Linked DNA regions of Macaca fascicularis. The protein of the gene in region 1 purifies or fractionates together with the protein of each later gene. This does not show direct contact. Links are inferred from orthologs where the notes say so. Each region holds a gene or a part of one and is shown on either strand. Other genes may lie near its edges. The genes, in order: RANBP6 and ARMCX3.

Region 1 (3,917 bases):
ATACAAAATTAATTTAGCAACAAGGTCAGGATGCAAGTCTGTCTTCTGATTATTAGTTCAGATCACTTTCTACCATACCATTTACTCAGTTGTCTTTCCCATTCTTTATTATAACCTGCAGGTCAGGTGATTCTGACACACACCAGATTTTGAGCTACCACTCTACTGCATTAGATGTGGTAGTGGGGAAGTAATTTTTTTTATTATCACACTTATTATTTTATAAACAGCTTTATTGTAGTATTACATGCCATACAATTCACCAATTTAAATTGTACAACTCAATGGTTTTTAGTATAATCACAGAATTGTGCAACCATCACAATTAATTTTAGAACATTTCTTCACTCAGAAACAGCCTATTTGATAGTAGTCATTCTCCATCCTCCTCCCCGCAGCCTCTGGCAACCACTAATTTCTGTTATACAGATTTGCCTGTTTGGTACCTTTCATATGAATAGAATCATAAAATATGTGGTCATGACTGGCTTCTTTTACTTGGCATGTTTTCAAGATAGATTTATTGTTTTAAAATTATCAAAGTAACAATAAGTTTAGAAATAAAAAAGAAAAAAATCACTCATAATCTGACCGGAAGCAGTGGCTCACACCTGTGTTCCCAGTACTTTAGGAGGCCGAGGCGGGCGAATCACCTGAGCCCAGAAGTTCGAGACCAGCCTGGGCAACATGGCAAAACCCTGTCTCTGTAAAAAACACAACAATTAGCCGGGCGTGGTGGCTCGCGTCTGTGGTCCCAGCTACTGGGGGAACTGAAGCGGGGAGGATCCCTTGAGCCCAGGAGGTTGAGGCTATAGTGAGCAGGGATCGCGCCGCTGCACTCCAGCCTAGGTGACAGAGCGAGACCTTGTATCAAAAAAAAAAAAAAAAAATCAGTCATAATCCCATTCTAATCAATGCTTTTCTTCTCTCCTCTGCAAGTGCACGTTTATCTTATTGAAAAACAAATGGAGGATGCCATTGGCCTCCACACAGCTCTCACCTCTCTCCAAAACCTAGCTCGCCGCCTGCCAGAGCGCAGCGAAAGCTTCTGGGCAGAGGAGGGAGAAGCACCCCGCCCATCCCCGCCGGCGCCTCGCCTACGTCACTGCTTCGAGCCGCAGACCCCCTCCCTCCTTCCCGGTCGCGGTAGCTTTGACAGAGCGCAATGGCGGCGACCGCGTCTGCAGGGGTGCCGGCGACTGTGTCAGAAAAGCAAGAGTTTTACCAGCTTCTGAAGAACCTGATCAATCCAAGCTGTATGGTGCGGAGGCAAGCAGAGGAAATCTATGAAAATATCCCAGGTCTGTGTAAGACTACCTTCCTCTTAGATGCCGTCAGAAATAGAAGAGCAGGTTATGAGGTGAGACAAATGGCTGCCGCACTGCTACGACGGCTTTTGTCCTCTGGGTTTGAGGAGGTTTATCCAAATCTGCCTGCTGATGTTCAGAGGGATGTCAAGATTGAACTGATTCTTGCTGTTAAGTTAGAAACACATGCTAGCATGAGGAAAAAACTTTGTGATATTTTTGCAGTGCTGGCCAGGAATTTGATAGATGAGGATGGTACTAACCACTGGCCGGAAGGTCTGAAGTTTCTTATTGATTCAATCTACTCTAAAAATGTGGTTCTCTGGGAAGTTGCACTTCACGTTTTCTGGCACTTTCCTGGGATTTTTGGGACCCAAGAGCGGCATGATTTGGATATCATCAAACGGTTGTTGGACCAATGTATTCAAGATCAAGAACATCCAGCAATCAGGACATTATCCGCTAGAGCTGCAGCTGCATTTGTACTTGCTAATGAGAATAATATTGCTCTTTTCAAAGACTTTGCAGACTTGCTTCCTGGAATCTTACAGGCTGTGAATGACTCATGCTACCAGGATGATGATTCAGTGCTAGAATCCCTTGTCGAGATTGCAGATACCGTACCTAAGTACTTGGGTCCTTATTTAGAAGATACTCTACAGTTGAGTTTGAAGTTATGTGGAGACTCTAGGCTTAGTAATCTGCAGCGCCAGCTGGCCCTCGAAGTTATAGTGACCTTGTCTGAAACTGCCACTCCGATGTTGAAAAAACATACAAATATTATTGCACAGGCAGTTCCTCATATATTAGCAATGATGGTTGATCTACAAGATGATGAGGACTGGGTAAATGCTGATGAAATGGAAGAAGATGATTTTGACAGCAATGCAGTTGCTGCGGAGAGTGCACTAGACAGACTGGCTTGTGGGCTTGGTGGAAAAGTTGTTTTACCAATGACCAAGGAGCATATCATGCAGATGCTTCAGAGCCCTGACTGGAAGTATCGACATGCTGGATTAATGGCCTTATCTGCCATTGGAGAAGGATGCCATCAACAAATGGAATCAATTCTAGATGAAACAGTTAACTCCGTTTTGCTTTTTCTTCAGGATCCTCATCCAAGGGTGAGGGCTGCAGCCTGTACTACACTTGGACAGATGGCTACAGATTTTGCACCTAATTTCCAAAAGAAATTTCATGAAACAGTGATTGCAGCTCTGTTACGTACCATGGAAAATCAAGGTAATCAGCGTGTGCAATCACATGCAGCTTCTGCTCTTATTATTTTTATTGAAGACTGCCCCAAATCATTGCTAGTTCTATATTTGGATAGTATGGTGAAAAATCTACATTCCATCTTGGTGATTAAACTTCAAGAGTTGATTCGGAATGGAACTAAATTGGCTTTGGAACAACTTGTGACAACCATTGCATCAGTTGCAGATACAATAGAAGAAATATTTGTCCCATATTATGATATATTCATGCCCTCACTAAAGCACATCGTTGAGCTTGCTGTTCAGAAGGAACTTAAGCTTCTGAGAGGAAAAACTATTGAGTGCATTAGCCATATTGGTCTTGCCGTTGGGAAGGAAAAATTTATGCAAGATGCATCAAATGTGATGCAGCTGTTGTTGAAGACACAATCAGACTTAAATAATATGGAAGATGATGACCCTCAGACCTCTTACATGGTTTCAGCATGGGCTAGAATGTGTAAAATTCTTGGAAAAGATTTTCAACAGTACCTTCCACTAGTTATCGAGCCTCTTATTAAGACTGCTTCAGCTAAACCTGATGTTGCTCTCTTAGACACACAGGATGTGGAGAATATGAGTGATGATGATGGCTGGCAATTTGTAAATCTTGGAGACCAGCAGAGTTTTGGAATTAAAACTTCAGGACTTGAAGCAAAAGCAACTGCTTGCCAAATGTTGGTTTACTATGCTAAGGAGTTAAGGGAAGGGTTTGTGGAATATACAGAACAAGTTGTGAAGCTGATGGTTCCTTTACTGAAATTTTATTTCCATGACAATGTTCGAGTGGCAGCAGCGGAGTCCATGCCTTTTCTCCTGGAATGTGCAAGAATTCGTGGCCCAGAGTATCTTGCACAGATGTGGCAATTCATATGTGACCCCTTAATCAAGGCTATTGGTACTGAACCGGATACAGATGTGCTCTCGGAAATAATGAATTCTTTTGCAAAGTCCATTGAAGTTATGGGAGATGGTTGCCTTAATGATGAACACTTGGAAGAACTGGGAGGAATACTGAAAGCAAAACTTGAAGGGCACTTTAAAAACCAAGAATTGAGACAGGTTAAAAGACAGGAAGAAAACTATGATCAACAGGTTGAGATGTCTCTGCAAGATGAGGATGAATGTGATGTTTATATTCTGACAAAAGTATCAGATATTTTGCACTCATTATTTAGTACTTATAAGGAAAAGATTTTACCATGGTTTGAACAACTACTTCCATTAATTGTAAATCTAATTTGTTCAAGTAGGCCATGGCCAGACAGACAGTGGGGATTGTGCATATTTGATGACATCATAGAGCACTGCAGTCCAACTTCATTTAAATATGTAGAATATTTTCGGTGGCCAA
Region 2 (3,837 bases), on another chromosome or scaffold:
ACTCATTTTTTCAGTGTGCATGCTTTATCTCACAGATACCTACTGTGCACTTACGTTTTCTCCTCAGGTTTTTTTTTTTTTTTTTTTTTTTTTCCTGCGTTCTGGCTTTTGTGGCTTCAATGCCTCCACCTTGCTAATGGGTGCAGGTGAAAGTCTGTAGCTCTCCTATTTAGAAGACTGGTCTAGTCAGAGGATTTACATATTGCCAGACACACTGATTAGCTCATTCAGGGCTGTGCTGTGTGCTAGGCCCCAGAAGACATTAAGATTGCTTTGAGTGAAGTGTGTAACACTCTCCACCAAGTGAGAAAATGTGGGACTTTTGGAGGCCATCACCCAACATCATTCTCCAGCTTCCACTCATTTTTTTCTAAAATGGAAATAGCTTTATAGTATTTTTTTTTTCTCGTAAAAAGAATGCAGGCTGGGGGCGGGGGAGGACGGAACAAAAATAACAAAGTATTAAGAAAGTAAAAGCCACACTCTCATTCCAGATTTTCTTTTCCGATCGCTTGTTCCTTTCAGATCTGGGACTAGATTTCAGAGGAAATGGTAGACTTTAATAGCTCGGGGGAGGGAAGGTGGAGGGAGAGGCTGCTGTCCCAGGAGCCTAGGGAAGGAAGAGGCAATTTTTCATAAAAAGTACAAGTGGCCCGTAGCCCCAGGGGAAGATGTCGTCCCTTTCTGGTAATCGGTGGAAGGGAAACACAACTACAAGGTGATGAGATTATCGAAGAAGAAAGAGTAACAAGGCCTGGTGTGGGGGAGGGAAAGGAGGGGGGCGGGCCCTCTTCTGCCGCACTGCTGGTGGGAGGGGAAATTGGGGACCCGAGTTGGTGGATGACGTAGCTCTCACGTGACCAAGAGCTGACGTGTGCAGAAGTCCTTCTTGTCCTGGTCGTTGTTCCCGTCTGAGTACCAGCTCCCCATTGCCCTGAGGGCGGGCGGGCCTGCGGCGGAGGGAAAAAGGAAGAGGAGAAGAAAATTGTCCCGGATCCCTGCAGGTCAGTGCCTGGGAGATTCCATAAAGTCAGGGTGCTAGAGGGTGTAGGGCCGAGACCGTCGCGGGTACTGAGGCGCCTCCGTCGTCTCTCCCACTCGCCGCCCGCTTTCCAAGACATATGTCCCGCCTGCACCCCATTTCGATGCTGCGAAACGGTGAGCTGGGGAGTGTTTGGGGAAAAGCTCAGAGATCGGGAGATGGGAATCTGCTGGGAGCCTAGGCCCGCAATCCGGAAAGGGAGCTGTGGCCTGGGTGTTGGCCCCTAGTCCACCAGGACAGTGCCGGAGGGGAATGGCTGGATATGGGGGCGGGGGTGGTGAGATGCAACGTGATATGTCAGCAGAACCCCAAGAGAGGTAATAAGGGTGGGAAACCTCTGACAACCAGGCCTCCGAATTAGAAAAGAGTTTTGTGTTCTGGGGACTAGTCCGTCCACCAAGCACGCAGTGGCGGCAGTTTCCCGTCTTTCTGCCTGTGGCTGTGTCTTCCTGACCATGGCTCTGTGTCTAGTGGGTCCAAGCCTCTCCCGGGTGGCCAGTCTTTCTGTAGGTTGCGGCACAACGCCAGGCAAAAGAAGAGGAAGGAAATTAATCCTAATCGGTGAAGGTCGATTTGAGGGTAAGACCATCTGGGGACTCTAGGAGGGACGGGGTTGGCCGCGGGGGTGGGGAGAAGGCAGAGAAGGTAATAATCTAGGTACAGGTTTGAGTCCGAATGTGTTTGTTGCACTCCCCGGACTGTGGCGAAATGGCGTGCTTTGTGTGTGTGTGGTGGGGGGGAAGTGGGGGAAATGACAGCAGGGAAACCTATCGGATAGTTTGTTCATAATCCTCCTCTCTCAACAGCACTTACTCCCCATGTTTTCGATCTGTCATCCTGCAGGTCTGCTATAGCAGGTGGCTCCGCTTGAAGCGAGGGAGGAAGTTTCCTCCGATCAGTAGAGGTCGGTGTGGGCGTGGGGGCTGCCTGGAATGGGGGAGGGGTTAGAAATCGCTCGCACTTTGGACAGGCTCTTCCAATCCTGCTTTATTTTCCTTACCTCCCTCCCATTTCAGGCTAGGGAGGGGGCAGACCTGTGCATGTTTGGGATGGCATAAAGAGGTTAAAAACAAACCTGATAGCCGGAATGGTGAATCAGGAAAGCAACAAATCAACAGTCAATCCATCAAGTGCTCCGTTCTCACTGGCTCTGGTCTCTCTGCAGATTGGAAAGGTTGTTGGGCGTGGCACACCACCAGGAAACAGAAGGGGCGAACTGCTTGTCTTGAGGAGGTTAGTGCAAGGGTTCTAGTCAGGTCCCTGGGGACATCTGAGGTTGTGGTGACTGAGACCCCAGCAGAATCTGTGGATTCCACTGGCATTATCTAGGCTTTGGGCGGGGTGACCTGGGGTGGGGAGGGAAAGGCTGAAATGAGAGGCATAGAGATTTTGTCAACAATCTACATTTCCTACCTAGCATTCAATTATTATTATCTTGTCCCTCTGCACAACTCCCTGCATGGGACAACACAAGCAGAAGAGAAACTCAAACCCGATTTTATTCTTCCACTCCTAGGTCAACCTCCGGAATCAGCTATTGTGGCCTTGAAGTGGCTGAAGACGATCACCCTCCACAGGCTTGAGCCCAGTCCCACAGCCTTCCTCCCCCAGCCTGAGTGACTACTCTATTCCTTGGTCCCTGCTATTGTCAGGGACGATTGCATGGGCTACGCCAGGAAAGTAGGCTGGGTGACTGCAGGCCTGGTGATTGGGGCTGGCGCCTGCTATTGCATTTATAAACTGACTAGGGGAAGAAAACAGAACAAGGAAAAAATGGCTGAGGGTGGATCTGGGGATGTGGATGATGCTGGGGACTGTTCTGGGGCCAGGTATAATGACTGGTCTGATGATGATGATGACAGCAATGAGAGCAAGAGTATAGTATGGTACCCACCTTGGGCCCGGATTGGGACTGAAGCTGGAACCAGAGCCAGGGCCAGGGCAAGGGCCAGGGCTACCCGGGCACGTCGGGCTGTCCAGAAACGGGCTTCCCCCAATTCAGATGATACCATTTTGTCCCCTCAAGAGCTGCAAAAGGTTCTTTGCTTGGTTGAGATGTCTGAAAAGCCTTATATTCTTGAAGCAGCTTTAATTGCTCTGGGTAACAATGCTGCTTATGCATTTAACAGAGATATTATTCGTGATCTCGGTGGTCTCCCAATTGTCGCAAAGATTCTCAATACGCGGGATCCCATAGTTAAGGAAAAGGCTTTAATTGTCCTGAATAACTTGAGTGTGAATGCTGAAAATCAGCGCAGGCTTAAGGTATACATGAATCAAGTGTGTGATGACACAATCACTTCTCGATTGAACTCATCTGTGCAGCTTGCTGGACTGAGATTGCTTACAAATATGACTGTTACTAATGAGTATCAGCACATGCTTGCTAATTCCATTTCTGACTTTTTTCGTTTATTTTCAGCGGGAAATGAAGAAACCAAACTTCAGGTTCTGAAACTCCTTTTGAATTTGGCTGAAAATCCAGCCATGACTAGGGAACTGCTCAGGGCCCAAGTACCATCTTCACTGGGCTCCCTCTTTAATAAGAAGGAGAACAAAGAAGTTATTCTTAAACTTCTGGTCATATTTGAGAATATAAATGATAATTTCAAATGGGAAGAAAATGAACCTACTCAGAATCAATTCGGTGAAGGTTCACTTTTTTTCTTTTTAAAAGAATTTCAAGTGTGTGCTGATAAGGTTCTGGGAATAGAAAGCCACCATGATTTTTTGGTGAAAGTAAAAGTTGGAAAATTCATGGCCAAACTGGCTGAACATATGTTCCCAAAGAGCCA

Evidence for each region.
Region 2: the proteins of RANBP6 (region 1) and ARMCX3 purify together in Homo sapiens (co-immunoprecipitation; 3 studies listed by BioGRID and IntAct, counting the BioPlex papers as one, with this or other methods). This does not show direct contact. The link is inferred for Macaca fascicularis from reciprocal best matches to the Homo sapiens genes RANBP6 and ARMCX3.

The regions. Positions count from the first base shown.
Region 1 is NC_088389.1:93,024,924-93,028,840, forward strand, and holds the start of RANBP6 (ran-binding protein 6), read left to right. Parts: upstream 1-1,157; 5' UTR 1,158-1,165; coding exon 1,166-3,917. UniProt on the Homo sapiens protein: May function in nuclear protein import as nuclear transport receptor.
Region 2 is NC_088395.1:108,279,401-108,283,237, forward strand, and holds the start of ARMCX3 (armadillo repeat-containing X-linked protein 3), read left to right. Parts: upstream 1-876; 5' UTR 877-1,158; intron 1,159-1,430; 5' UTR 1,431-1,621; intron 1,622-1,885; 5' UTR 1,886-1,946; intron 1,947-2,207; 5' UTR 2,208-2,275; intron 2,276-2,558; 5' UTR 2,559-2,704; coding exon 2,705-3,837. UniProt on the Homo sapiens protein: Regulates mitochondrial aggregation and transport in axons in living neurons. May link mitochondria to the TRAK2-kinesin motor complex via its interaction with Miro and TRAK2.